5 linked regions of the Coturnix japonica genome follow. The protein of the gene in region 4 purifies or fractionates together with the protein of the main gene of each other region. This does not show direct contact. Links are inferred from orthologs where the notes say so. Each region holds a gene or a part of one and is shown on either strand. Other genes may lie near its edges.

The links.
Region 1: the proteins of RBX1 (region 4) and CAND1 purify together in Homo sapiens (affinity purification with western blotting; 6 studies listed by BioGRID and IntAct, with this or other methods). This does not show direct contact. The link is inferred for Coturnix japonica from reciprocal best matches to the Homo sapiens genes RBX1 and CAND1.
Region 2: the proteins of RBX1 (region 4) and cullin-9-like purify together in Homo sapiens (affinity purification with mass spectrometry; 5 studies listed by BioGRID and IntAct, with this or other methods). This does not show direct contact. The link is inferred for Coturnix japonica from reciprocal best matches to the Homo sapiens genes RBX1 and CUL9.
Region 3: the proteins of RBX1 (region 4) and FBXO42 purify together in Homo sapiens (affinity purification with mass spectrometry; 4 studies listed by BioGRID and IntAct, with this or other methods). This does not show direct contact. The link is inferred for Coturnix japonica from reciprocal best matches to the Homo sapiens genes RBX1 and FBXO42.
Region 5: the proteins of RBX1 (region 4) and FBXO7 purify together in Homo sapiens (affinity purification with mass spectrometry; 5 studies listed by BioGRID and IntAct, with this or other methods). This does not show direct contact. The link is inferred for Coturnix japonica from reciprocal best matches to the Homo sapiens genes RBX1 and FBXO7.

What each region holds. Positions count from the first base shown.
Region 1 is NC_029516.1:31,602,794-31,607,530, forward strand, and holds part of CAND1 (cullin-associated NEDD8-dissociated protein 1), read left to right. Parts: coding exon 1-1,366; intron 1,367-2,117; coding exon 2,118-2,213; intron 2,214-3,476; coding exon 3,477-3,646; intron 3,647-3,743; coding exon 3,744-3,908; intron 3,909-4,109; coding exon 4,110-4,217; intron 4,218-4,737. UniProt on the Homo sapiens protein: Key assembly factor of SCF (SKP1-CUL1-F-box protein) E3 ubiquitin ligase complexes that promotes the exchange of the substrate-recognition F-box subunit in SCF complexes, thereby playing a key role in the cellular repertoire of SCF complexes.
Region 2 is NC_029518.1:3,471,685-3,476,421, forward strand, and holds part of cullin-9-like, read right to left. Parts: coding exon 4,551-4,737; intron 4,414-4,550; coding exon 4,206-4,413; intron 4,126-4,205; coding exon 3,947-4,125; intron 3,870-3,946; coding exon 3,646-3,869; intron 3,567-3,645; coding exon 3,332-3,566; intron 3,253-3,331; coding exon 3,147-3,252; intron 3,071-3,146; coding exon 2,843-3,070; intron 2,754-2,842; coding exon 2,663-2,753; intron 2,592-2,662; coding exon 2,420-2,591; intron 2,301-2,419; coding exon 2,195-2,300; intron 2,073-2,194; coding exon 1,977-2,072; intron 1,898-1,976; coding exon 1,722-1,897; intron 1,474-1,721; coding exon 1,340-1,473; intron 1,272-1,339; coding exon 1,110-1,271; intron 1,033-1,109; coding exon 923-1,032; intron 846-922; coding exon 663-845; intron 489-662; coding exon 340-488; intron 202-339; coding exon 1-201. UniProt on the Homo sapiens protein: Core component of a Cul9-RING ubiquitin-protein ligase complex composed of CUL9 and RBX1. The CUL9-RBX1 complex mediates ubiquitination and subsequent degradation of BIRC5 and is required to maintain microtubule dynamics and genome integrity.
Region 3 is NC_029536.1:3,750,626-3,754,949, reverse strand, and holds the end of FBXO42 (F-box only protein 42), read left to right. Parts: intron 1-31; coding exon 32-88; intron 89-527; coding exon 528-644; intron 645-787; coding exon 788-1,864; 3' UTR 1,865-3,388; downstream 3,389-4,324. UniProt on the Homo sapiens protein: Substrate-recognition component of some SCF (SKP1-CUL1-F-box protein)-type E3 ubiquitin ligase complex. Specifically recognizes p53/TP53, promoting its ubiquitination and degradation.
Region 4 is NC_029516.1:45,481,827-45,487,167, reverse strand, and holds the start of RBX1 (E3 ubiquitin-protein ligase RBX1), read left to right. Parts: upstream 1-1,770; 5' UTR 1,771-1,785; coding exon 1,786-1,914; intron 1,915-2,715; coding exon 2,716-2,794; intron 2,795-5,341. UniProt on the Homo sapiens protein: E3 ubiquitin ligase component of multiple cullin-RING-based E3 ubiquitin-protein ligase (CRLs) complexes which mediate the ubiquitination and subsequent proteasomal degradation of target proteins, including proteins involved in cell cycle progression, signal transduction, transcription and transcription-coupled nucleotide excision repair.
Region 5 is NC_029516.1:48,678,842-48,683,578, forward strand, and holds part of FBXO7 (F-box only protein 7), read right to left. Parts: coding exon 4,698-4,737; intron 3,578-4,697; coding exon 3,485-3,577; intron 1,419-3,484; coding exon 1,242-1,418; intron 608-1,241; coding exon 570-607; intron 360-569; coding exon 1-359. UniProt on the Homo sapiens protein: Substrate recognition component of a SCF (SKP1-CUL1-F-box protein) E3 ubiquitin-protein ligase complex which mediates the ubiquitination and subsequent proteasomal degradation of target proteins and plays a role in several biological processes such as cell cycle, cell proliferation, or maintenance of chromosome stability.

The DNA of each region.
Region 1 (4,737 bases), about 14 Mb from region 4:
CCTCCAGTTGTAGCTTGTGTTGGAGATCCATTTTACAAGATTACCTCAGAGGCACTTTTGGTTACTCAACAACTAGTGAAAGTCATTCGTCCTTTAGACCAGCCTTCTTCCTTTGATGCTACTCCTTACATCAAAGATCTCTTTACTTGTACAATCAAGAGATTAAAGGCTGCTGACATTGATCAGGAGGTGAAAGAAAGGGCAATATCTTGCATGGGTCAAATCATTTGTAGCCTTGGTGACAGCTTGGGCACAGACCTGCCTAGTACACTTCAGATCTTCCTAGAGAGACTGAAGAATGAAATCACTCGGTTAACGACAGTGAAGGCCATGACACTGATTGCTGGTTCTCCTTTGAAGATAGATTTGAGACCAATCCTGGGGGAAGGAGTTCCTATTCTTGCTTCTTTTTTGAGAAAGAACCAACGGGCTTTGAAACTGGGCACTCTTTCAGCTCTAGATATTTTAATTAAGAATTACAGTGACAGCTTGACAGCTGCCATGATTGATGCTGTCCTGGATGAGCTTCCACCTCTTATTAGTGAAAGTGATATGCACGTATCACAGATGGCCATCAGTTTTCTGACAACACTTGCTAAAGTATATCCTTCCTCCTTGTCAAAGATTAGCGGGTCCATTCTCAATGAACTTATTGGGCTGGTGAGATCGCCTCTACTTCAGGGCGGAGCACTTAGTGCCATGCTAGAATTTTTCCAAGCTTTGGTTGTGACTGGTACAAATAATTTAGGCTATATGGATTTACTGCGCATGTTAACGGGTCCAGTGTACTCTCAGAGCACAGCACTTACTCACAAGCAGTCTTATTATTCCATTGCCAAATGTGTGGCTGCCCTTACTCGAGCGTGCCCTAAGGAGGGACCAGCTGTAGTAGGTCAGTTCATTCAAGATGTCAAGAACTCAAGGTCCACGGATTCCATTCGGCTTTTGGCTTTGCTTTCACTTGGGGAAGTTGGGCATCACATTGACCTAAGTGGACAAATTGAGCTGAAGTCTGTAATATTAGAAGCATTCTCTTCTCCTAGTGAAGAAGTCAAATCAGCAGCATCTTACGCATTAGGCAGTATTAGTGTTGGCAATCTTCCTGAGTATCTGCCTTTTGTCTTACAAGAAATAACCAGCCAGCCTAAGAGGCAATACCTTCTTCTTCATTCCTTGAAAGAAATAATTAGCTCTGCATCAGTGATTGGTCTCAAACCATATGTTGAGAACATCTGGGCCTTACTCCTGAAACACTGCGAATGTGCAGAAGAGGGTACAAGGAATGTTGTTGCTGAATGCTTGGGCAAGCTTACTTTAATAGACCCAGAGACTCTGCTTCCACGACTCAAGGGATACTTGGCATCAGGTGAGTTGTATGCTTAAATTGTAGAAAATGGCCTTGTATTATCTTAATATATTGTTGTGGGTTTTTTTAGCAATTTCCTTAAGTTCTGTAATATTCCTGAAGTCTGCTTGCCCCCCAAAACCCTCTGCCAAGAACAATATGAAGTTTAGTTCCATTTGGGCAAGAGAAAGTTAAGTGGTGCAGAGCATGAATTACTTTTATGTTCTGCTTTCAGAGTATGATATTTAATTTAATAATGTTACATTTAACAAAACTATAAACTTAAAGGGAAGAGCGTGGGCAGCAAAGGACAGTACTGCTTGATAGATTTGTTGCAGAGCATTAACATTTAATATATTCCTAATTCTCCAGTAAGAATTCTGAAGTTTGTAAGGTTGGAAAGGATGAAACTGATACTGAGTTATAGTCGTATTAAGAACTGCATCAGTGTGTTTTCTTCATGTCCTTCTGCTTTAAAGAGGAGAATTGTTTAAAGGCTTGCATGAGAGAAATTAGAAGAGTGTGCAAGTAGCCTCATTACTTCAGTTTTCTGGTGCAGAAAAGATTTATTTCAAATACTGTGTTTCAGCGTTTAAAATGTAACACCAGTACATCTACAGAGACAATGCTGTGTTACCAATAATAAGTAGCATTTGCTCTTCAGCTTGTGTAAGACTATTAGAAGCTCGGAAAGAATGGGTTTAAGTGTGGTTTAAATTCTGTAGTTGTGCTGTTTTAACTGTTACGTACTCACAATTTTATTTCACATTAGGATCCTCGTATGCTCGAAGTTCTGTGGTGACTGCTGTGAAGTTCACTATTTCTGATCATCCACAACCCATAGACCCGCTCTTGAAGAACTGCATAGGTAAGTTCTTTACTTCTAGTGACAAATTCTAAGTTTTCAAGCAATGGAATTGCATTTAAAGCGTATTCTGTGTGTCTTCGGAGGAAGATTATTTTGTAGGTGGAACTAGAAATAACTGCTTATGTTAACTGTTGAAAGTGTTTGAAGTGCTTTCCTTAGGAGCCAATTATTTTTGTTAACTCTAGCTCATTTGAATTCAGAGTGGTACAAGATATGTGATAAAAGTTGCATATAATGCATCTGCAATGGACAAAGCATGCAAGGAGCAAGGACAAGGAAAGATGGTACCTAAGAGATGATTTCTTCTTCCAGGATCTTTGTAAATTATGTCAGGTTGAATTAGTAAGGTTCCTTCTTTACCCAGAAAGGTGGTCTTGGAAATACTTGGTCTTAAAATATATATACACGTGTTAATTCTGAGTATTGTCAGATGGTGGGTTGTAAATCTAGGCCCTTGCAATTCTGTAATGCTTTCTGGTCTGAAAATTATTGGAAGCTATTGTTTGTGGGTAAGGTAATCAGGGCTTTCAGTATGATAGAGCTTTGCAATTCTGTGGCTTTCTGAGCTTTTCTCATTTGTATGACATTGTTGTAGATTTCTTTAATATGCTGTGGTGACTCTTAGCTTTGTAGTGGATTGATGACCCTAAAATCTTTAGAAAGGAGCATATGCCACTAAATCTAATAAGAGGTAAAAAGATTCATCTTTAGAAACAGTTTTGTGGGGAGCAGGTTGTTTGTTTATGGTTGAGGCAGTGTCAGTTCTTACCTTATTTTCATTGCTAATCTTTAATATTTTTTTTATTAATACATTAATGAGTTGAATGATTATGCGTGGGGGCTTCTCCTCCTGCTGTCTTCCTCCCACTGAAGGTGCTTTACCCTTTCGATTTCTGGAAATACTTTCTGGGTATTGAAAACAGTAAATGAGCTATTGGGATCTACTACTTCAAAATTCTCTTCTTGTTAGTCTTGTTACCTTTTTTTTTTTTGTGGGTGTAGAAGCCGCCTTTTTTTACATCCTGTTTTTCCCCTCTTTAAACATTCAGCACTCTTGGAAGTTGCTAAATACTGTGGGGGCAGGAGGGGGGTGAAAATACTTGTTCCTGCAGGCCTTTGTTTTATCAAAGCAGTGCTACAAAGCTACAAAGGAGCTAATGTGAAAACGTATGGAGACAGGCCTTGTTACATTAATACATGCTGAGTAGGCTTATCTTCTGGTCCATTAGGAATTTGTTGATGTATTTCTCTATTCAATTGCAGGTGATTTTTTGAAAACATTGGAGGACCCAGATCTCAATGTCAGGAGGGTAGCCCTAGTGACATTTAACTCAGCTGCACACAACAAACCATCATTAATAAGGGACCTCTTAGATACTGTGCTTCCTCATCTTTACAATGAAACAAAAGTCAGAAAGGAATTAATCAGAGAGGTACGTTAACTGAGCAAAATGTGACCAGATTAACATAAGTAGACTCTGTTTGCCTAAATATATTACTTTTTAACTTTGTTTTTTTGTTTGCTGACAGGTGGAAATGGGACCATTTAAGCACACAGTTGATGATGGGTTGGACATTAGGAAAGCTGCCTTTGAGTGCATGTATACTCTTCTGGATAGCTGTTTGGATAGACTAGATATATTTGAATTCCTAAACCATGTTGAAGATGGCTTGAAGGATCACTATGACATTAAGGTTAGCTGTCATTTTACTACGTAAGCAAGCAGTAAATGTTTTGAATAGTGAGTAGACTGAGATGGTAGCAATGATACTTCACGTGCTTTAATGATATTTTAAATAATGAAATATTTAAGCATTACGGTTAACGGTTGCAGAGTACTCTAGGAAATAACTCTGTGCTCCGCATGACTGATTTTTGGTTTTCTCTCCAACCAGATGCTAACCTTTTTAATGCTGGTGAGACTGTCTACCCTTTGTCCAAGCGCAGTGCTGCAGAGATTGGATAGGCTTGTTGAACCTTTGCGCGCTACATGTACAACTAAGGTATTCTTTTAAATAGGAACTTCTGTTTGCTAATTATCTTGTATTGCTTTACAGAATTACAAATGAATTTGTATATGAAGAATGATTCTTGTAATCCACATCTACTGCTGCAGCATTTCCTGAGTTACAGTTTGTAAATTGCAGTCAGCAGATGCGTTACTTCTTCTTAAACTACAAATTGAAGAGTAAAATGATCAGTTCATTATTAAAAATGCTGCTTCTTTGCCATTTCTTTTGTTTCTCAGAAATCTAGCTGCTACTTCAGCAACTTGTGTCTATTATAAACAGTGAAATTAGAATACTGAGGGTTTTTCTGACTGCTGATGATTATGTTGTTGCAGACAAGCATTAGCGTGATGAAGGATGGAGGTAGCATAAAGTGGTGCTGGTTTTTGGTTTGTTTTATCGTGTTGTTTGCTTTGTTTTTCCCTCATCATTTATATAATGAGATTTTTGGATTTTGGCACAGTTGGTCTCCTTCTCCCACTCATCTTGATCCAGCTATGGGCTCTGATACTGA
Region 2 (4,737 bases), on a different chromosome or scaffold from region 4:
CCCAGGCCCCGCTCCAGCAGCCGCCGGTCCCGCTCCTGCAGCCGGAAGAGGCGGAAGTGCCGCCGCAGCTCCTCGGACTCCACCAGGTCGCTCAGCATCTCCTGGGGGAAGCGGCGGGGGAAGCACAGCCCCATCTGCTCCACCACGGCCCCTTCCAGCCAGGACGGCCCCTGTGCCAGCAGCCGGTCCCCCAGGTACAGCCTGACACAGCCGCACGTCAGGGCCACCTCGGCCCCGTGGACAACGGCCCTGCCACCACCGGGACGGGCCCCGCAGAGCCACGGAGCCCCGGGCCCATGAGCCCTTCCCTCCCCAGGGCACGGCAGGGGCAGCGCTCACCGGTAGAAGTGCTCGAAGGTGTGGGCGAACTCCAGGCCGCCGAAGACCACGAAGGGCTCCAGGATCTGCTGCAGCTGCCCTGTGCTGCCCACGGCCCCGTGCAGCTCCTGCACCTTCCTGTCCAGGTAGCGGGCAAACCGCTCGCTCACCTGCAGAGGAATGGCACAGTGGTGTGGGACGGGGCGGCCGCAGGGGTCAGGGCACGGGCAGGAGCCCCGGGGCATCAGAAGGGGAGATGTGACCCGGCCCGGGCAGGGAGCACAGCAGGGCTGTGTTCCCACAGCTGGGCATCCACAAGGGCCATGCTGGGCCGCTGGACTCACGTGCAGGGAGGTCAGGAAGGAGAGCTGCAGCAGAGCCCCAGCAAAGCCCTGGCCCAGAGCTGCCACAAAGGCGGCCTGCTGCCCAAAGAGCTCCTCTGTGGCACCGCGCAGGCACCGGTACAGCGCACAGTACTGCTCCACCATGTTCAGTGCCTGCCCCGACACCTCCAGGAACCGCTGCACCTGCGGGCACAGCCCAGAGTTCAGCCTGCAGTGGGACGGCAGTGGGCCCCGCTGGCACTGACCGCCCCGCACCCTACCTGCTGCTGCACCACGCCACGCCAGCACCGCACCATGTCCCACAGGCCTCCAGACTTCACTGCCACCGCCACCCGGGCTGGTGTCTCCTTCTTCCTGCCCTCCTTCCCACCTGCCAAGGCACAGCCGAAGCTCAGCCCCTCATGTTGCCCCTCGCCTGGCCCCGCAGGAAGGCAGCCCTGCACTCACCCACAGCTCCCTCCTCCTCTGGTTCCACACCACCCGGGTCCACGTGCACCAGGAGCTGGGTCAGGCGCCGCACACAGGAACCGAAAGCGTCGCTGCGGGGCGGCTCTGTGCTCCCCAGGTACTCACCCAGCAGCCAGGCCAGAGGGCTGATGCCGCTGGGGTCTGACGGGATGCAGAGACTCAAGGGGGGCCTCGGGCACCACAGGGAGGGCCCAGGATGACAGTGGTACCTGGGCTGGTGATGCTCTGCACCACGGGGGTCACCAGGGCCTCCCAACACGTCCTGCCCAGGGCTCGGGCCACCTCGTCATCAGGAAGGAAGCGGTCAGTGAAGTCTTGCTCGTGCTGTAATGCCCCGTTCAACCTGCAACAGTAAGTGGGCAGCACGGTATGGCAGCAAGCATCCACCAACTGCACATGGAACCACCTGGCCAGTCAGGGGGCAACAGGCATCACTCCTGGCCCTGCCCCTCACCAGGAAGGACACTGCTGCAGCCCCACTCCTCCCAGGGCAGGACTCAGCCTCTGCCCCCTTTCCCTCTTGGGCTGACAGCAGCACCCCTGCTGCCTCGGGACCCCAGGGACAGATGGCACAGCCCACACGCCACTCACTTGCCAAAGAGCTGCAGCAGCTGCCCCCGATCCTGGTGGATCTCCTGGCACCAGGCGTGTGCTCGAGCACTACAGAAGAGGAACGTGCGCCGGCACAGCTGCTCCTTGAAGATGGGCCAGAAGGTGGGCTTGGGCCCCAGCACTTCAATGCCACGCACGCGCGTGTCGATGCCCCCCTGCAGGAAAGTGCAACCCTGAGCTCTGTGTCCATCCCCAATGTCCGCTGCCATGGCCCGGGCTGGCCACAGCTCCCACCTGCTGGCACCGCTTCACCCGGATCTGGATGATGGGCCAGAAGCGCGTCATGTTCTCCAGCAGCACCACCCTGCTGGCTGAGGGCAAGACGGTCACCTGCAGGCAGATGGGAGCTCTCAGTGTGGGCAGTGAGAGCAGACACCCACACGTGCCCGGTCAGCCCCGGTGCAGCCATGGCCGGGATTGCCCCACAGCCCAGCAGCACTGGTGCAACTCACTGCGTTCAGCTCCGTCCGGACGTCGGCGGGGCTGTCTCCCCCAAGCACCACCACGCGGGCTGGCATGTAGCTCGAGTCCTCGCTGGCCACCAGCATGCTCAACTCCCTGCATGGCAAACACGGCACTGCCCTGCAGCTCCCATCCACATCCAGCAACCCCAGCATGGGGCCACAGGGACAGCGTGCGTGGAGCCCCGCAGCCATCTCCTCCCCGCACAGCCCTACCGGACCACCACCCCGCACTGCATGTGGATGGTGATGTAGTGCGAGCCGGTGCTGCCGTTTGACTCCCAGTAGGTCTTGGGGTTCCTGTCCGTCAGCTTGCTGGCGCGGTGCGGGTTGGAGGAGACCTGCACCTTTTCCCAGCACTTGTCCTCCTTAACGTCCACGCTGGGGCCTGCAGGGAGAGCACACACAGCCTCCAGCTGCTGCTGGGACACGTTGCCCGGCTCGCACTCCTGCACTCACCTCGGCACAGGTTGCGCAGAAAGACGTCAAAGAAAGGGATGCTGATGGGCCGCTGGCTGCGGCGGTGCTCCTCAATCTGCCCCAGCACCACCTGGGGATGGGGACGGACCCACGCAGTCAGTGGGGGCCTCATCCTTCTCCCCAAGTCCCCAGGCAGGGTAGTTCAGACACCCAGCCCACCTGGATGCAGCCTGCCAAGATGCTGCCCGTCAGCTTCCTGTAGAGCGCGGCGTGCCTCTCACAGTCGCTCACCAGCTCCAGCAGGGATGGTGCCAGCGGCAGGGCCGGGCTGTGCTTGTCCAGGGCTTTGGCCACAGCCTCACGGGCGCCTGCACTGCACATCCCCACGGTGCAGTCTTTGCTGGCAGTAGCCAGGCGGTGCAAGAAGCCCACCGCCTCCTGCACCACCTGCGGGGACATGGCCCTCAGCCGGTGGCACGCAGCACAGCCCTCCCTGCCCCCAGGAGCACCAAGGCCCTCTCACCTCGCGGTCGCTGCTGTGGGCGCTCAGGAAGGACAGGCACGGCTCCACACACTCATGCCAGGGCAGCGCGTCCTCCTGATAACCGTCCAGGAACACACTCAGGATCCTGCACGACAGATGGAGCCGCTCAGCCTGGGCCATAAGGCAGCCGCGCCCCGAGCCCCCACGCTCTGACCAAGCCCCACCTGAAGATTCGCAGCCCCACGGCCTTCTCTGCCCCTGGCAGCTCGAGGCTGCGCAGCAGTGGACGGAAGCATCGGTGCTCCTGCAGCTGCCGGGATGCCTCACTGGCAGGAATGGCGGCCACGCCGCAGAGCTGCCGTTCCAGGGCCACCACCACGTCCTCGGGCAGCACGCCGTCCCACAAGCTGCCTGCAGGAGCCCGTGTCTCCCTCACCTCCGTCAGCAGGGCCTCAGCACCTGCGAGACAGGCAGTGAAGGACGAGATCCTCAGCCCCTACCTGCGAGGCTGTGGCACAGAGGGCCACCCGCACAGTACCTGGCATCTCAGGGCCATAGGGCAGCTGGTGCTCTGCCAGGTGGTTGATGACGCTGAGGGCCAGCATGGCGTTGGGGCAACCGGAGTCCCGTCCAGCCTGCCAGCAGCTCTGCAGTACCACAGGGAGATCACAGCCCACCAGCTGCTCTGCCAGGACCCGGTGCCCATCCACCAGCATCCTCACCACCAGCATGGGCCCGCCTTTCTGCACGCCCGAGGAGCCCCTGCGGTTATGCAGCCGTGTGGGCACCTTCCTCCCCAGGTGCAGAGCTCCCCAGGACCCACACAGCTCCATCCCTACCCTGGCACGGCCTGCATGGCACGGATGGCAGCGGGGATGGCACCCAGCAGGCCGGGTGAGCCCTCGCCGCAGGCAGAGCCGATGCTGGCAAAGATCTCCCGCATCATCTGTGCGTCGGCGTGGCTCAGCAGCGAAGCCTTCCGGCTGCCACCTCCAGCTCCCACCAGCACCTTCAGGGCCTGCGTAGCCCGCAGAGGCTCAGGGGATGGTGGGATCCAAAGCGGGCCCCGCCAACCCCCAAGCTCCCACACGCACTCACCGCCAGGCCGGCCTGCTGCACCAGGGCAGAGGCCGCGTGCTGCTGCATGCAGGCCAGCACCGCTCGCACACCTCCCTCAGTGCCGAAGGGCACACTCCAGGCACAGCTCTCCATCAGCAGGGCCACCAGCCGCAGCGCCAGCGCTGCCGGGTACAACTTGGCTTCCTCGACGCCCAGCAGCTCCACCAGCGCCTTCACCAGCTTCTCCCTGCGAGGCCGAGGGCAGCTCAGGAACGGCACCTTCACCTGCCCACGTGGCCACACTGAGCTCAGATTGCCCCATGTCAGCCCACGTGGGGCACAGAGACGCAAGAGCCACTCCTCTCACACCACTCAGCCCCACACCTGGTCTCTGGCCCACCCTGGGCCTTGCTGCTGCGCTGCTCCTGCTCTGGGGCCTCCTCCAGCACCTTCACCACATGCCGCAGCCCGGCCACGCGCAGCTCTGCCTCGCAGTCACCACGCAGGATCGCATCCACCACGCGCTGCACCTCGGCCAGGCAGCCGACCTCACTCACGTCCTCACAGCCAC
Region 3 (4,324 bases), on a different chromosome or scaffold from region 4:
GGTCTGAAATGCTCTTCTTTGCCCCCCCCAGATTGTCATAGATGACGAAACCATTTTAATCCTTGGTGGCTGTGGTGGTCCCAACGCAGTAAGTATTCTGTGGGGAGTGAGGGCATGAACTGTGCTCATCCTGCTGTACTGTGAGCCCTGGGTGCAGGCTGGGGAGCAGGAAGGCTCCTTGCTTTCCCCAGGTGGCCTTTTGTCCTGCAGATCCGAGATGCACATTGTAGACTTTACAGCAAAGCTGTCGTTATAGCAGGAGCTGCCTTTAATTAATAAAAGTCATCCCAGGAGCTATCTGAGCAGTTCACTGATGTTAATTAGAAGCCCTGACTTTACACTGGGACAGCAGATGGGGATGAAGGGACTTGTGCATAGCCACAGCAGGGTGTAGCCACCCCTGGGTGGTCAGATCCCAATGTGTGTCAGTGTCCCTCTGTCTGCAGCTGCACAGCACCATTCCTGCCCCTGTAGGATGATCTTGGCAGCACGCTGGTCTCCTGAATCCCTTGTGCTTTTCTTCACAGCTGTTCAAAGACGCCTGGCTGCTGCACATGCAGGCAAACCCCTGGACATGGCAGCCACTCAAGGTAGAGAATGAGGACCATGGAGCCCCGGAGCTGTGGTGCCATCCTGCCTGCAGGGTGAGTCTGGCTTTGGGACAGATGCATTGGGATCTCTGCTCTCTCACACACACCTGTAGACTTTCCTGCCCAGAATGCTCTCTTCCTTTTTGTCCCAGCAGCCCCCCAGCAGTCCATAACCCATTCCCTCTCCTCTCTTGCAGGTAGGACAGTGCGTCGTGGTCTTCAGCCAGGCTCCCAGCGGCAGAGCCCCGCTGAGCCCCAGCCTGAACTCTCGTCCCTCTCCCATCAGTGCCACACCGCCCGCCCTGGTCCCCGAAACACGCGAGTACCGCTCCCAGTCCCCGGTCAGGACCACAGATGAGGCTCCTTGTGTCAATGGCCGCTGGGGCACCCTCAGGCCCAGAGCCCAGCGCCAGACACCCTCAGGTTCACGGGAGGGCAGCCTCTCCCCAGCCAGAGGTGACAGCTCCCCGGTGCTCAATGGTGGCAGCTTATCGCCCGGGGCTGCGGCGCCTGGCGGTGCCTCCTTGGACAGCCCAGTGCAGCTCATATCGCCCGGCACACCCGGAGCCACTGAAGGATGTGACCTAAAAGTTGGGCTCGCTCTGGCACCGAGGCGAGGATCGCTGCCGGAGCAGAAGGACCTACGGTTGGGCTCCATCGATTTGAGCTGGGAGCAGAAAGCAGCTTCCCTGTGCCAGACGGATGGCGCGGAGGGCAGGACGCTGCGGAACCCCCCCGAGCACACCAACGGCATCCACACACCACCCCACTCTCTGCCGGGAGCCGTGTCCCCCGGAGCGCTCCGCAGGAGCTTGGAGGCCATCAAAGCTCTCTCTTCCAAAGCTCCCCCAGCTTCTGCTGCTCTCAGCCCCCCGCTTGGCTCCTCACCGGGCTCCCCGGGCAGCCAAGGCAGCGGTGCCGACGCACGGCCGGGCTCTGCTCAAGGTGACAGCCACTCGCTGCCGCCCATCGCCCGCCGCCTGGGCCACCACCCCCCGCAGTCCCTCAACGTGGGGAAGCCTTTGTACCAGAGCATGAACTGCAAACCCATGCAGATGTATGTGCTGGACATTAAGGACACCAAGGAAAAAGGACGAGTTAAATGGAAGGTGTTCACTAGCAGCTCGGTGGTGGGGCCACCCGAGACCAGCTTGCACACGGTGGTGCAAGGCAGAGGGGAGCTGATCATATTCGGTGGTCTGATGGACAAGAAACAGAACGTGAAGTACTATCCCAAAACAAATGCCTTGTACTTTGTGCGAGCAAAGAGATAATGTGGCCCGAGCTCATCGCCACCGCTCCCCTCCCCCCGTGGCTCTCCCTCTCCCTCTGAAATCTGTCGTGCAGGCATTCAAACTGTGAATTAGGGAACAACAAACAATGCAGCCCAAGCCAACCTCCAGCACGCCCCGGTGAAGCAAATCGTGTTTACAAGCAGGGGAGCAGCGCCCTGCTGTAGGACCTGTTACTGTGCTCCATGCTGCAGCCCAGGCCAAGGATGTAGGGCGAGTCACGGTGCTTTCCTAGAGCCAACCTTGCAGCAGGAGGCTGTCAGCTCATTGCACTGACCATTCCCGTGCTGGGAGGAAGGAAAACAACAGCAATACCTGAACAAACCTTCAGCACTGCAAGCTGTGACCGTAAGCTTTGCTCGACACAAACACGATGCCTTCTTTTTGCCTCTCACCCCTTTGGCCTGACAGCTTCGTTCCTGTCCTTGTTGCAGGACCGTAAGAAGGAAGAAAGGACAGTTTTGCATTGTAAAGCCAAAAAAATAATCATTGTGAACAGGACGGGCAGGACTTGCTCCCAATGGAAATGCTGAAAGGAACAGGCTGAATGCTGAGCGTTGGTGCACCCGAGCGGCACGGCGTGAGCCTCCACCGCAGGAACAAAACCATCTTTGCATGTGCCTCCTTCCGCAAAGATTAAAACAAAGCAAAAATCCAAATGGATTCAACCCGTGTGTCCGTCTGGGACAAACATCCTTCCTTCCTGCCTCCTTCCTTCCTTCTCTTTCAGCTCGAGGTTGGGGAGGGAAGCTGGGGCTCCATATTACCAACAGCGCCTGCCCTTCCTGAGGATGCTCCCGGCTTCAGCACCTGAAATAGCCAAAAGAAAGTAGGAAATTCAGCCCCAAAACACAGCCCTGTGCACCGGCAGCGCCATGACGTGGTTCCCCATCTCCTCTCCATCCCCACTGAGCTTTGCCGGCTTCACCACCACAACCCCCAACCTTTGGGGATCACAGCCCTCCCCCTATTAAAGTATCGGGGTTCTCTTTGTTTTCTACCTACAATATGAACCTGTTTTGGTCCAACAGGGCTGAGGGGAAGCCCCGTTTGGGATGGGGCTGGGGAGAGGGCAATGCCTCATCTGCAGTTTGTAGATACACCTTCAGTTCAATCCAATCCCAAATCCCCTCTCCTTATGGGGGGACCCCCATGTGACGTCCCATGTTTCTCTCCTGTCTGCATGTCTCAGCCTCCCCTTCAAAGTCAAAACCACGGAGCTGTTGGGAGCTGGGTATGATGTTCTCACCCATCCCCACCAGCTGCCACCCTTTGTGTTCTCCCAACAGCCTCAAATCCCTTTAAACTACCCCAAAATGGCAGCGCCCGGCTGCAGGGCCACACTATGGGAGGGGGTGGGGGGGAGGGGGTTGAGGAGTCCCTTTTTGGTGATATTTAATGAAATCTGTGTACATTTTTGGGTTGGTTTTTTATGTTCTGCTCTTTCTCTTTCTCTCCCTCGAGGAATTTTTAGCCGTTGAACAAATAAAACTTGGAAGAAGTGGCTGAATGTTGAGTCTGTGTATGGGGAAAAATGGGGCTGTGTGGTGGCAATGCTTCCCAATAGGAGTGTCCATTGGGCCTCCATCACCTATAGGGCAGCCTATAACACTGGGAGGTTTTAAGACATAAGGATCAAGGTCCCCTATACCCTATATAGGTTTGGGGTAAGCTATAACATATGGGGCTGTTTGCTTGTAATATAGAGATTTGGGGGTTCCATAGGGGCTCATATAGGGGAGCTATAAGGCTATGGGAGGTCTTAAACACATAAGGATCAAGGTCCCCTATACCCTATATAGGTTTGGGGTAAGCTATAACATATGGGGCTTTTTGCTTGTAATATAGAGGTTTGGGGGCTCATATAGGGTAGCTATAGGGCTAACACTGGGAGGTCTTAAGACATAAGGATCAAGGTCCCCTGCCCCTATAGCTTACCCCTACCCCATATGTTTGGGGTAAGCTATAACATATGGGGCTTTTTGCTTGTAATATAGAGGTTTGGGGGCTCATATAGGGTAGCTATAGGGCTAACACTGGGAGGTCTTAAGACATAAGGATCAAGATCCCCTACCCCATATGTTTGGGATAAGCTATAGTATATGGGGCTTTTTGCTTGTAGTATAGAGGTTTGGGGGTTCAATAGGGGCTCATATAGGGTAGCTATAAGGCTACGGGAGGTCTTAAGACATAAGGATCAAGGTCCCCTATACCCTATATAGGTTTGGGGTAAGCTATAGCATATGGGGCTTTGAGCTCGTAATATAGAGGTCTGGGGGTTTACATAGGGCTATAGGGGCTCATATAGGGCTAGGTATCCTTAGTATAGCTCTGGGGTCCTCTATGGCTCTGTGGTCCTCCATAGCTTTGGGGTCCCCTATAGGGAGCTCTATATATATGGCCTACAACCGGAAGGGGCGGGTCGTATAATAAACCCCGCCC
Region 4 (5,341 bases):
ATCATCGAGTCCAACCCCCCTGCCAAAGCGGGCTCCCTACACCATGTCACACAGGTAGGCACCCAGGCGGGTCTTAAATATCTCCAGAGAAGGAGACTCCACCACCTCCCTGGGCAGCCTGTCTCTGCCATCTCTCCATGCTCTTAGCTCAGGTTAAAGCCTTCAAGCTCTCCCTCTTTCCCATGTCTTTTCCTTGGAGCACTGAGGGGCTCCCCATCCCCATTTTTTAAATCAGCCCAACATCCTCACTGTCATACACTGGGACTCTTCTGTCCCAGTCATATTTCCCTGTCACAGCTGATGGCTGGGCACAATGAGGGGCTGAGATGTCCTCTGCAGAGACAGAGTTATTTGTTGAGCCTAGAACCATGCTTCCCGTTGCTCTTTTTCATGCATGAGGAAAGGCTGTTTGCAGTAGGTTGGGCACAGTCATTAAGTACCATGGTTTTTGCAAGCACCTGGTAACCTGCATGTTGGTTTTGAGTCATGACGGTTGGTTGTTATTTTATCTTCAAGTTATCAAGCAGCTTGAGGTGCAATACCATGAGAAAGAAAGAGCAGCAATTAGTCACCATCCCATGAAATGCTGCAACTCGTTCCTCTCTCTGAATCTCATCTGTTCATCTTAGTCAGATTATGGGGAGCGGGAGGCTTCATTTCTCACCTGAGGTTTTAGTAACAGATTGAAAAAACAATGGCACTACATGGGAATATAATGTGACCATCATCTAGAAAACACACAGAGGCAGAGGGATTGGGTTCATGCAGAAACCAACCATGATCTGGGCCAAAAAACTATGGGATATATTGCTTAATCTACCCCTCTGGCTCTGTTCTTAGAATTCAAATTTTCTCTGAGCACTCCAGATCAGCTGGGGATGCTACAGAGTATTGAAGTTCCATGATATTCATGAACTCTGAGAAGTTTTGTGGCAATGTGGAAAGACGGTAAATGAGGTACCATTTGTGATGCTGTCTGTCTGGACACTCACAACAGCAAAGGCAAACTTAGCCAAATCAATTACTTTTAGTGGCATCAGCAATGGAGGGCAGCCAGCCAGCCCTACAGTTCTTTAAGGAGTTATAAAATGCACTTCATTTTTATAACCTCTGTACAATAAAGTATTGCTCTAAAAAGTGTTTCGGAGCACATGAATTCCTGCTTTCTTTCAGAACATTTTCATTCCTGAGTGCATCCTGAGCGCCCCAGAGACATCCCACACCACTGGGGTAGCACTGAGGCTGATATGGTACAAAGGATATGCAGCTCAGCTCAGCCCACCTGAGGGGCTGGGAAGGGAGCAAGGGCTGAAGAGCAAGGCAACCTCCTCCCTTAAAAAGGCTCTGCCGGGGACGGAGGGGTGTGTGTGGGGGGGGGGGGGGGGGGGTAAGGGCAGGCCCTGGCGGAAGCCCCGCCTACACCTTCCGCTCACACCTCCCTGCGGCCCCTTCCGCCGCGCATGCGCACAGAGCGGAACGGCCTATTCACGCATCCAAAATGGCGGCTGCGATGGATGTGGACACCCCCAGCGGCACCAACAGCGGCGCCGGCAAGAAGCGCTTCGAAGTGAAGAAAGTGAGACCTGCTGGCGTGGCGCGCTCTACCCGGCCGGTCCCAGCGGGAGGAGGGAGGTCGGGAGCGGCCAGGTGGCCGCGAGCGGGTCGGGGCGCTGAGCCGCTTTCCGCGCCCCCTCACGGAGCCGGGCGTTGCTTCCGCACCGGCACCGCCGTATGAGGGGAGGGGGGGGCGGTGCTTGCGGAGTCTATTGGCGTGTGTCGGGGCCAATGGGTGAGACGGGTCTCCGCGCGTGGAACGGAGGTTGGCCAATCAGAGGGCGCGACCACGCGGGGAGGAGGAGGGAGAGAGGCGAGGCGGGGCTAGTTCTGGCTGGGCCCCGCCGCCCAGAGCCGAGGGTAATGCCGGGCTTAGGGGCGAGTCGGTGCGCTGCTGTTGCCTCCTCAGTCCCGGCTGCTTTGGCTCAGTTGTCTTAGTGGCCCTACGTGATGTGAAGGGAGCTTTGCACGCATTTGTGTGGCTGCTTCTTTTTGTATTCTTCACAAATCAACTCGTAGGTGACCAACAAATGCTGTCTTGTCATCCCGGTTTGCTTTGCTTCCCCCAAACAACCATAATATCCCTCTTTGGCCTAACAACCATAATATCCCTCTTTGACCTACCCTCTCCAGTGTGGCTGCGAGCTGAATGGTGGTGAAAGATCCCAAGTTCACTTCAACGAGGCCCGGAGGTGGTTAGGAGCACTTTGTGGGAGCACTTTTGATATTGTATATTTTTTGCAATGAAAATGATTCAGGAGTCGCTGAGGGGCAAAGTTAGAGGTGATTCTGGTTGTTGGCCCCAGCTGCTCTGAGGGATGATTACTGGGAAAACAGCTACAAACAAGAGAAGTTCCAAACTGAGGATGTGGCGTGAGATGCATTCTTGCCTCCAGATTATGAATTGAAATGCAGATGTTTGCATTTGTATGGCAAAAAAAAGAGAGTGGGACTAGTATCAATTGTTTCTGAGACTGGAAGGAGGCACTGAGTGTGAGAGGTATCTGAGAAAGAATTACTCTGGTGCTGTAAGGTGTGTGTCTTTTAATATCCTAACCTTATCATTTCAGAAAGAAAGAGGATCTTGAGGAATAATGAGGATTTCCATGTGTTATATGTTGAATAAAATTTATGTTTCTCTTTTTTCCCCCCTCACTCTAGTGGAATGCAGTAGCTCTGTGGGCGTGGGACATTGTGGTTGATAACTGTGCCATCTGCAGAAACCATATTATGGATCTATGTAAGTAAATGATGGGGAAGCGTGCTTACAGTTTTGACATGTACAAGATTCACAGTTGAAATTTCCACTGCTCAGGGTGCATTTCAGCAAATCTGGTTTTCAGTTCAGAATGAAGTCTTTCGGTAACACTATAAACTCTGTTCTATGTAGTGCTCAAGTTCTGCTTTCTGTGTCTGACTGACCAGAAAAGATTCAGGCCACTGAATTTTTGACTCCTCATTCTGCCAAAGCTACTTTGCCTAAATTAGGGTTATAGTGTGGGGAATTCTGTGGCCAGCTAGAGAATCCGTTTGTTATCTATGAAGAGAATAATCTAATGCCTAAACCAACACCAAGCATTGCTAGTACTAATTCACCTTTTTTTTCCCCCCTGTATGGTCCCAACAGTCCTGTTAACAAATACACTTACTATTTAGGAAAACAAAGTGGTAGTAGGAGTAAGTATAAAAAATTCTACTGTGAAATAGGTATCCATATATAAAGTCACCGGCTTTGGTCTAATTGAGGATTGGCAATAAGAACAGAGCCATTTTTTTTTCCCCTCAAATCTTTGGCAATATATGGTTGGCACCGTAACTGTCCATGTTCTTTCAATGATAAGATACAGAACACCTTTTAACATCCCCCAGATAGGAAGTCACCTGTACTACTAAAATGGGAGGATTGTGGTACCTCAAAAAGCAAGACCTTCAGTACCTGACAAGGGCTAGTCATGATTTCTTTGTGGTCGCTTTGTTTCACTTTCTTCTTAGTAGCCCTTGCAAGTACAGCTGATGGTAACTTACTGTTAGTGAGCCAATGTGATAATATAAAAGAGCAGGGGAAAAGAAAAAGAGGCTGTGCAGTGTACCATGCAGGGCTGAAAGGGGATTAAGCAAGCTGACTTCTTTGCTTTGAGTCAGATGTGTTCTATTTTGAGCCAGCTGCTGCCTGTCCATCGCTCACTTTATTCTTGATCATTAGAAGAGGAATGGTAGCACTAAAGGCAAGCAGGTGAGAGGAGTGGTTGTGACATGTGCTGAGGACCTCTGACATAGTGCTTTACAGTTAAGAATTGAGGTTGGGTGGAATTGAAAGAATATAGACGTGTTAGGAAGAACTTCAAAGGAAGAGAGCACAGGTAACTTAGTTTTTGTTTTGTTTTGCTTTTTGAGTTGCTCAAGCATAACACCTTATTAGTTAGGGCATAATCAATGCTATCAAAAGCCCAAACTGCAAATGATGGACCAAAATTGACAGTATACAGAGTAGAAGCGGTATCTAAATTGGTGTTCTGAGTTCAGCCTTGGCTCTGGATTTACTTACTTCCTTGTTAACGATCATTAATGATGTTAAGCAACATCTTAATTAGATTTTCAAACCGAAGATGTGAAGTGATGGGAAATAGAGAAAAAATTACTAGATTGTGCAGGGAAGAACAACACAAGATTCAGTTTGATAAAGTGCAGGGCAGGAATGTCTCCCTCTCCCACTGATGAGGAGAAACCTTAAAAGGGAAAACATTACAATGGTGATAAGTAACACCAGCCACGCTAATGGAAGATTGTTAACATTATGAAGTCGAGCATCCAAAAGTTAGGATATAACAATGTTAAGGTTTCGTGCAGTCTTGCTAATGCACATACATTACGACTTGGCTGCTAATACTAAGGACAAAGGATTCCCCTGGCCCTCACTATGGCTCATGTTCGGCACATAGAAGGGATGAGTAGATTTTCAGTGGTTTTTGTTCATTTCTGAAAGGGCCCAGAATGTATTTAGATTTTCTTTGTGCAACATCCTTGATTTCTTTCAAGGTTTATTCCCTGCTGCAATGGTTGCAATGGGGCAAGTTTGGGGAATGTTGAGAAACACCATGATCATATAGTGGGTTGTCCTCTAAGTGGAATGTAGTACTGCAAGGTGACTGGTGTGCTTTGAACTGTGTGAAATGTGGCATCAAAATAGTGGACTCTCTCTGATAGAAGATGGAAAGTATCAATGTGATATTCTGGTGTCACAGAGATGGACAAATTGATTAGAATCCAAAGAAAAAAATCTCACAGTGATTTGCAGGTTGGTTTATTTTGGCTTTTTGGGAAGAGCAGAACTAAATATATGAGGTTTGCTAAGGCATGTATATATAGTTTGCTAAGTCATAACTAGGAGTGGACAATGATAGCTGTGCACAAATATTTTGAGAGTGATACTCAGATACTCAGCATCATATGAAGGGGTTATAAGTAGAAGGAGTCATGTGACAGTGAGATGGAGGAACCTGGGGGGAATATTCAAATACTTCTTCAACTGAGAAAATTGCATGGAAAAAGTTCTGAAAGCCCTCTGAAGTTTGACAAACCAAGAGCTCATTCTGCATTGTGGATGTAATAAATGCACTTTAGGTTTCCTAGCCTGGTTATTTGTTTTTTCTGTCTCTGGCATAATACAGTATATGTTGTTAGCTACGGTATGTACATCTTGTTCTGTTCTCCCCAATAACTCAATATCTTCAGGGTGTAGCTGCAGAAAGCACTGTTTAAAGAGAAGGGGGAATCCCTCAGTGGTTAC
Region 5 (4,737 bases), about 3.2 Mb from region 4:
CTGGGTCTAGGTGGAAACCTGTCATTGGGACCAGCTCGTCCTGGAAGTGTAGGGTTTGCTCCAGGCAAGGAACCAATGGGGTCAAAATGTGGTCTGAATGGAGGAAACTGGCATGGTGCTTCTCCTGGGCCAGGAATGAGTGAATTAATTGGGTCTCCAATATACAGAAGCGTTGGTCTCTCAACATATTCTCCAATGACCATGGGGGGATAGATTGGGTTTGATGGGAATGGGTTGGGAGGAAAGGGACTAGGATAAAATGGGTTGGGATGAAAGGGAATTGGATGAGGTGTAGGGGGCAGAAACATGTGCCTCCATCTCAAGGCCTCCTTCTTCTGTTTCAACTTTTTCTTGTATAGCTGCAGACAGAAACAAAGGTATTTTAAGGTTCACCAAGTCTCTTGTTGATGTTCATCTTCCCCTACTCCAACCAAACTCAACTCGTGTTTACAGAACACTTTTAAATTAAAATTTAACTCAAAACTACAGCTTCCCAAAGTCTCTGTGTTTGCCCTGAATTTCTCCCATGTAGACTAATCTCAGTGAGATTATATAGAGAAGCCACCTACTTCTTTCCAGTCAGTGTCACGAGGCCTTGCAATGGGATCTACAAGAGAAGCACAGAATCAAAATGAGCAACCTCTTTTAAGTAGCATTTATGCCAAGGATTTGTGGGAACATGCAGGAGATGAAAAAAACATCTCTGGTCAATACATAATGTGTTTAAAAAAAATATAAAGCTGTAGGACCATTCAGTATATAATCTACTCATATTCTATATAAAATACCATCTCCGAAACTCCTAGGAAATCCCAGGAATATTATTCCCATCTTTGATTTATAATAGCACTTCCCTTTACCACCTTTTTCTTCAGTCTCTTGTGAGGAATTCTAGCAGGAATATCCCTTCTCTTCACTCTCAGATAGCTGCAATAACAAGTGTATCTAAGTAGCAAGAGAAACAGATGAAAACAACCAAAGTTCTACCACATGATGGGCAGAACTATATGGTCCATGAGAAATGGCTCAGATAACTATTACTATTTTTCATGACAGAAAACAGAATACCCACCTGAATTACATCTAGTCCACTGTACTGGTCACTATCACTAATGACTCTATTTGATGCCACTATTTAAAAATCAAGACTGCTTACCTGAGCAACCTCTTATCAAAACGTAAGACCTAATTACCCCTGTTCACACGAGAATGAAATTGAAGAAAATGTGTATCACCGTTACCTCTGAAATCTCGCAGATACATAAACCTCCACAGAAGCTGATCATTTGAAGCTGCATAAAGATCACGGCAAACAGCAGACAGAGAGATGAGGGAACGGACATCCAGAAGTCTAAAAATCCGAAGCTTCAGCTCAAGAGGAAGGACCACTAACCCAAAGACATCTGGCAAGTTCAGAGCTACGAAGTGGAGGACACAGAAGAATTAACTAAATGGTGCAAAGCTGATGACCCTGAAGAAAAGAAAGACATCATAACCTTTCCCTTAGATCATTCCCTTTTGATGCCTCAGTTAAACAACGGGTCTCCAAAAGCACCAGGACACGGTTTCTTAGAATACTGATCTCTTCCACCTTGCAGTATGTTTATGAGTTCATGAAATAGGCCAAATGGTACTTTACACTGAACACCAGTGACTGCTGTTAACCTAAGAAACATGCCGCATGCTTATGTGTGCAGGCTACAGAACAAAGGCCAAAGGAAAAAGGTCTGCCTGATTACAAGAGTCCATAAAAAAAACATATCAAATGCACAGCATATGTTTCACATAAAACTTGCCCGCACTGAAGTCTACGGATTCCACTGTGTCTTCAGAATACTAAGCTGAACTCTTTTACAGCAGTATCTATACACAGAAAGCCTGATTTCCTACTGCTGATAGGTCTTAGAAAAGTCTAGTAAAGAGACACAATCAATATCTGGTTGCAATTTTACACGTTCCATGTGAAAATTCACAGGTAACGTATTTGTGTCAACTGAAAACAGGAGAATGGCAAACATGAAAAAATTTGATGAATCTCAGACTCCTTTATCAAAACAGAAAACTGCAAATATGTCATTGTTCACAGGACAGTTTAGCACCAAAATGCTTATAATCATTTGCCATAACTTCAATTAGCACTGCACCGTGCCCCCTGTGTCTTGGTTTCAGCTTAGTGTCAAGCACACCCTGATGTTTGGCTGTTACTGAGAGATGAGTGCATGCCCACGGCTGGGCCGGGCCGCAAACATAACAGGAAGAGCCTGCCATGATGATGTAGAGTAGGGGGTGGCTGCAGTATGAGCTATGCCAGGCTGCATGCAGCATGTGGGTTGGACATGCCTGCAGTTCTACTGTTGAACTTTCTGTTGAACCGGTTCTACTGGCTGAGCTTTCCCACCAATATGCTGTTACATGCTGTTGCTTTCCAACAGATGGCAGCAGAGGGGCGGTCTGACAAAATGGTGTCTGACACAGAAGTGTGGATGAAGCAAAAGTCTGGTACTGAGTTCTTCCATGCAGAAAAAAAATTGCACCCACTGACATTTATCAACATTTGCCGAATGTTTATGGAGACAAAATATTAGGTGTGAGTACAGTGAGGCAACAGCTGTGATGTGAAAGAAGAGCCATGTTCTGCATGGCCACACACAGCTGTCACATAATGAAACGAAGAGTGTCTTTATCAGCTCATCCATGTGAATCAGTGGATTACTTCCAGGGACCAATGTACAGAGCTGAGTGTCACCTTCAAGAAGTTAGAAAAGATGGTGGCAACACTAGAATATTGAGACGTTTGTGTCAGGTGGGCCCCACCAAGGCTCACATAGGAACAGAAAAAAACAATTTATACAAGTCTGTGAGGACCCATTGCAACAATACCACACTGACAGTGACAGCCTCCTGTTCCATTCTCAATCATGAGATGTGGTGTCAGCACTATGAGACAGAGTCAAAACAGCAGTACACAGAGCAGTGATACATGAATTTCACATTAAAAAAAAGTTCAAGGTGCAGCCCTCAGTGGGCAAAGTGAGGAAAGGGATGATCCTCCTGGATTTCCTAAGACATGGACAAACCATCAATGCTGACTGCTACATCACAATGCTAACTAAGCTGAAGGCTCCAACTTGCAGAGTCAGGACAGCAAAGACAACCACTCTTTTGCATCATGGTTATGTCAGGCCCCATACCAGTTTAAAGACAGTGGAGTACATTGCCTGTCTTGGCTGCACTGTCCTACCACACCCATCATACAGTTTGGATTTGGTGCCCTCTGACTTTTGATGGGAAATTATCATTATATTGACTTCTTTTAAAATACAAAGATTAATCTAATTTCTTTAGAGTGTCCATTTTTTTCTTACTCTCCACATACCCACCACTGAGCAGCTGTCTGAACTGTTTCTAACACTTCTCCCTCAAGACTCTGCATACACTCCCTCCCTTTCTTCCATCTGCAAAAATTAAGTATCATCTCTCTCACCTTGTCGGGCAGCAGCCAGAAGAGAATAAACCAGCTGGTCTTTAAAGAGACGAGATAATTTCTGAAGGTCTTTGTAAACACCCGCAACCTTTTCTATCAAATCAGAGAGATAAAAAGCTTAATTTCAAGAGGTTATAATGCAATGATTATGCAAGAGCAGAAAAACCATGGCTTTCTTATAAACAAAACCGTGATCTGTTTGTCATCTTGGTGGGCCCAGGTCTGCAGCTAGTGTGTGTATGTGGATAGTGTGTATGGAATAGCAATTTTTTGAGAAACTCCAGCCTACTTCCATGGTAAGGCTAGGCTACCCAATGGCTTTAAAAAGCACCATTATGAGAAATACATGAGTTCTCCAAAAACCAACTGGCTCTCAAGCTGTCAGACCTTCTTTGATCAGATTTCAAAGCTCAGATGGCACACACCTATGCTGTAAATGTCTGTTACATTCATTTTTCAGATAAGAGTGCTTTTCCATTCTGTTATCCTAGGAAAGAGGAGCCAGAAGACTCTACCATTATCTTGGACACGTCAGTGCTCAGTTATTCCTCTAGAGCCTTTTGACTAGCTTCTTACATCAGTGACTGGAGATCTGAGAGACACAGTGTAGGACACCAAGTCATCCTCAACTGGCAACAAAGAGGTTCATTAATGCCTTGTAAAACAAAAGGCTAGTCAGTCTTCTGCTGACAAAGGATCCACATCCATCTGTCCTTCTCCTCCCCCACCTTAGTACTTCTCTGATTTTGTCATTCTGGAGAGAGTTATGTGGTTGGCATCTATTTTATAACACAGATAACAGTTACGTTGTCACAGTAAGAGTGTAGGTATCACCAGCCTCTAAAGTCCTGAGCCAGCAGGGAGAAAAAAAGAGGGTCTAATCCAGCATTGCTGCCTCAGAAATTTACACTGACATTTAGAACCTCAGAAATAACAGGCATTTGGGACAAAGCATGAGTCAGTCTTTGCAAAATCCTTTCTTTATTCAGTTAATCAAAGAAATTTGAATTACTTTAGCAGCAAAATACAAGTAAATGGCTATACTCTGAATTCCTTTTACCATAAAGCAATAACCCATCTAAACAGTGGTTGTATTTTTATTCTTTCTTGCTATTTTTTTCCTATTTAGTCCTCCACTTACTATTCCTACCCACTATTGCATCACTTGCCTACTTCCTAGTTGACTGTTATCAGTATTATAGCTCACGCATACCTGGTTCCTGAAAGCAAACAAAGGATGCTGGCAGCAGCTG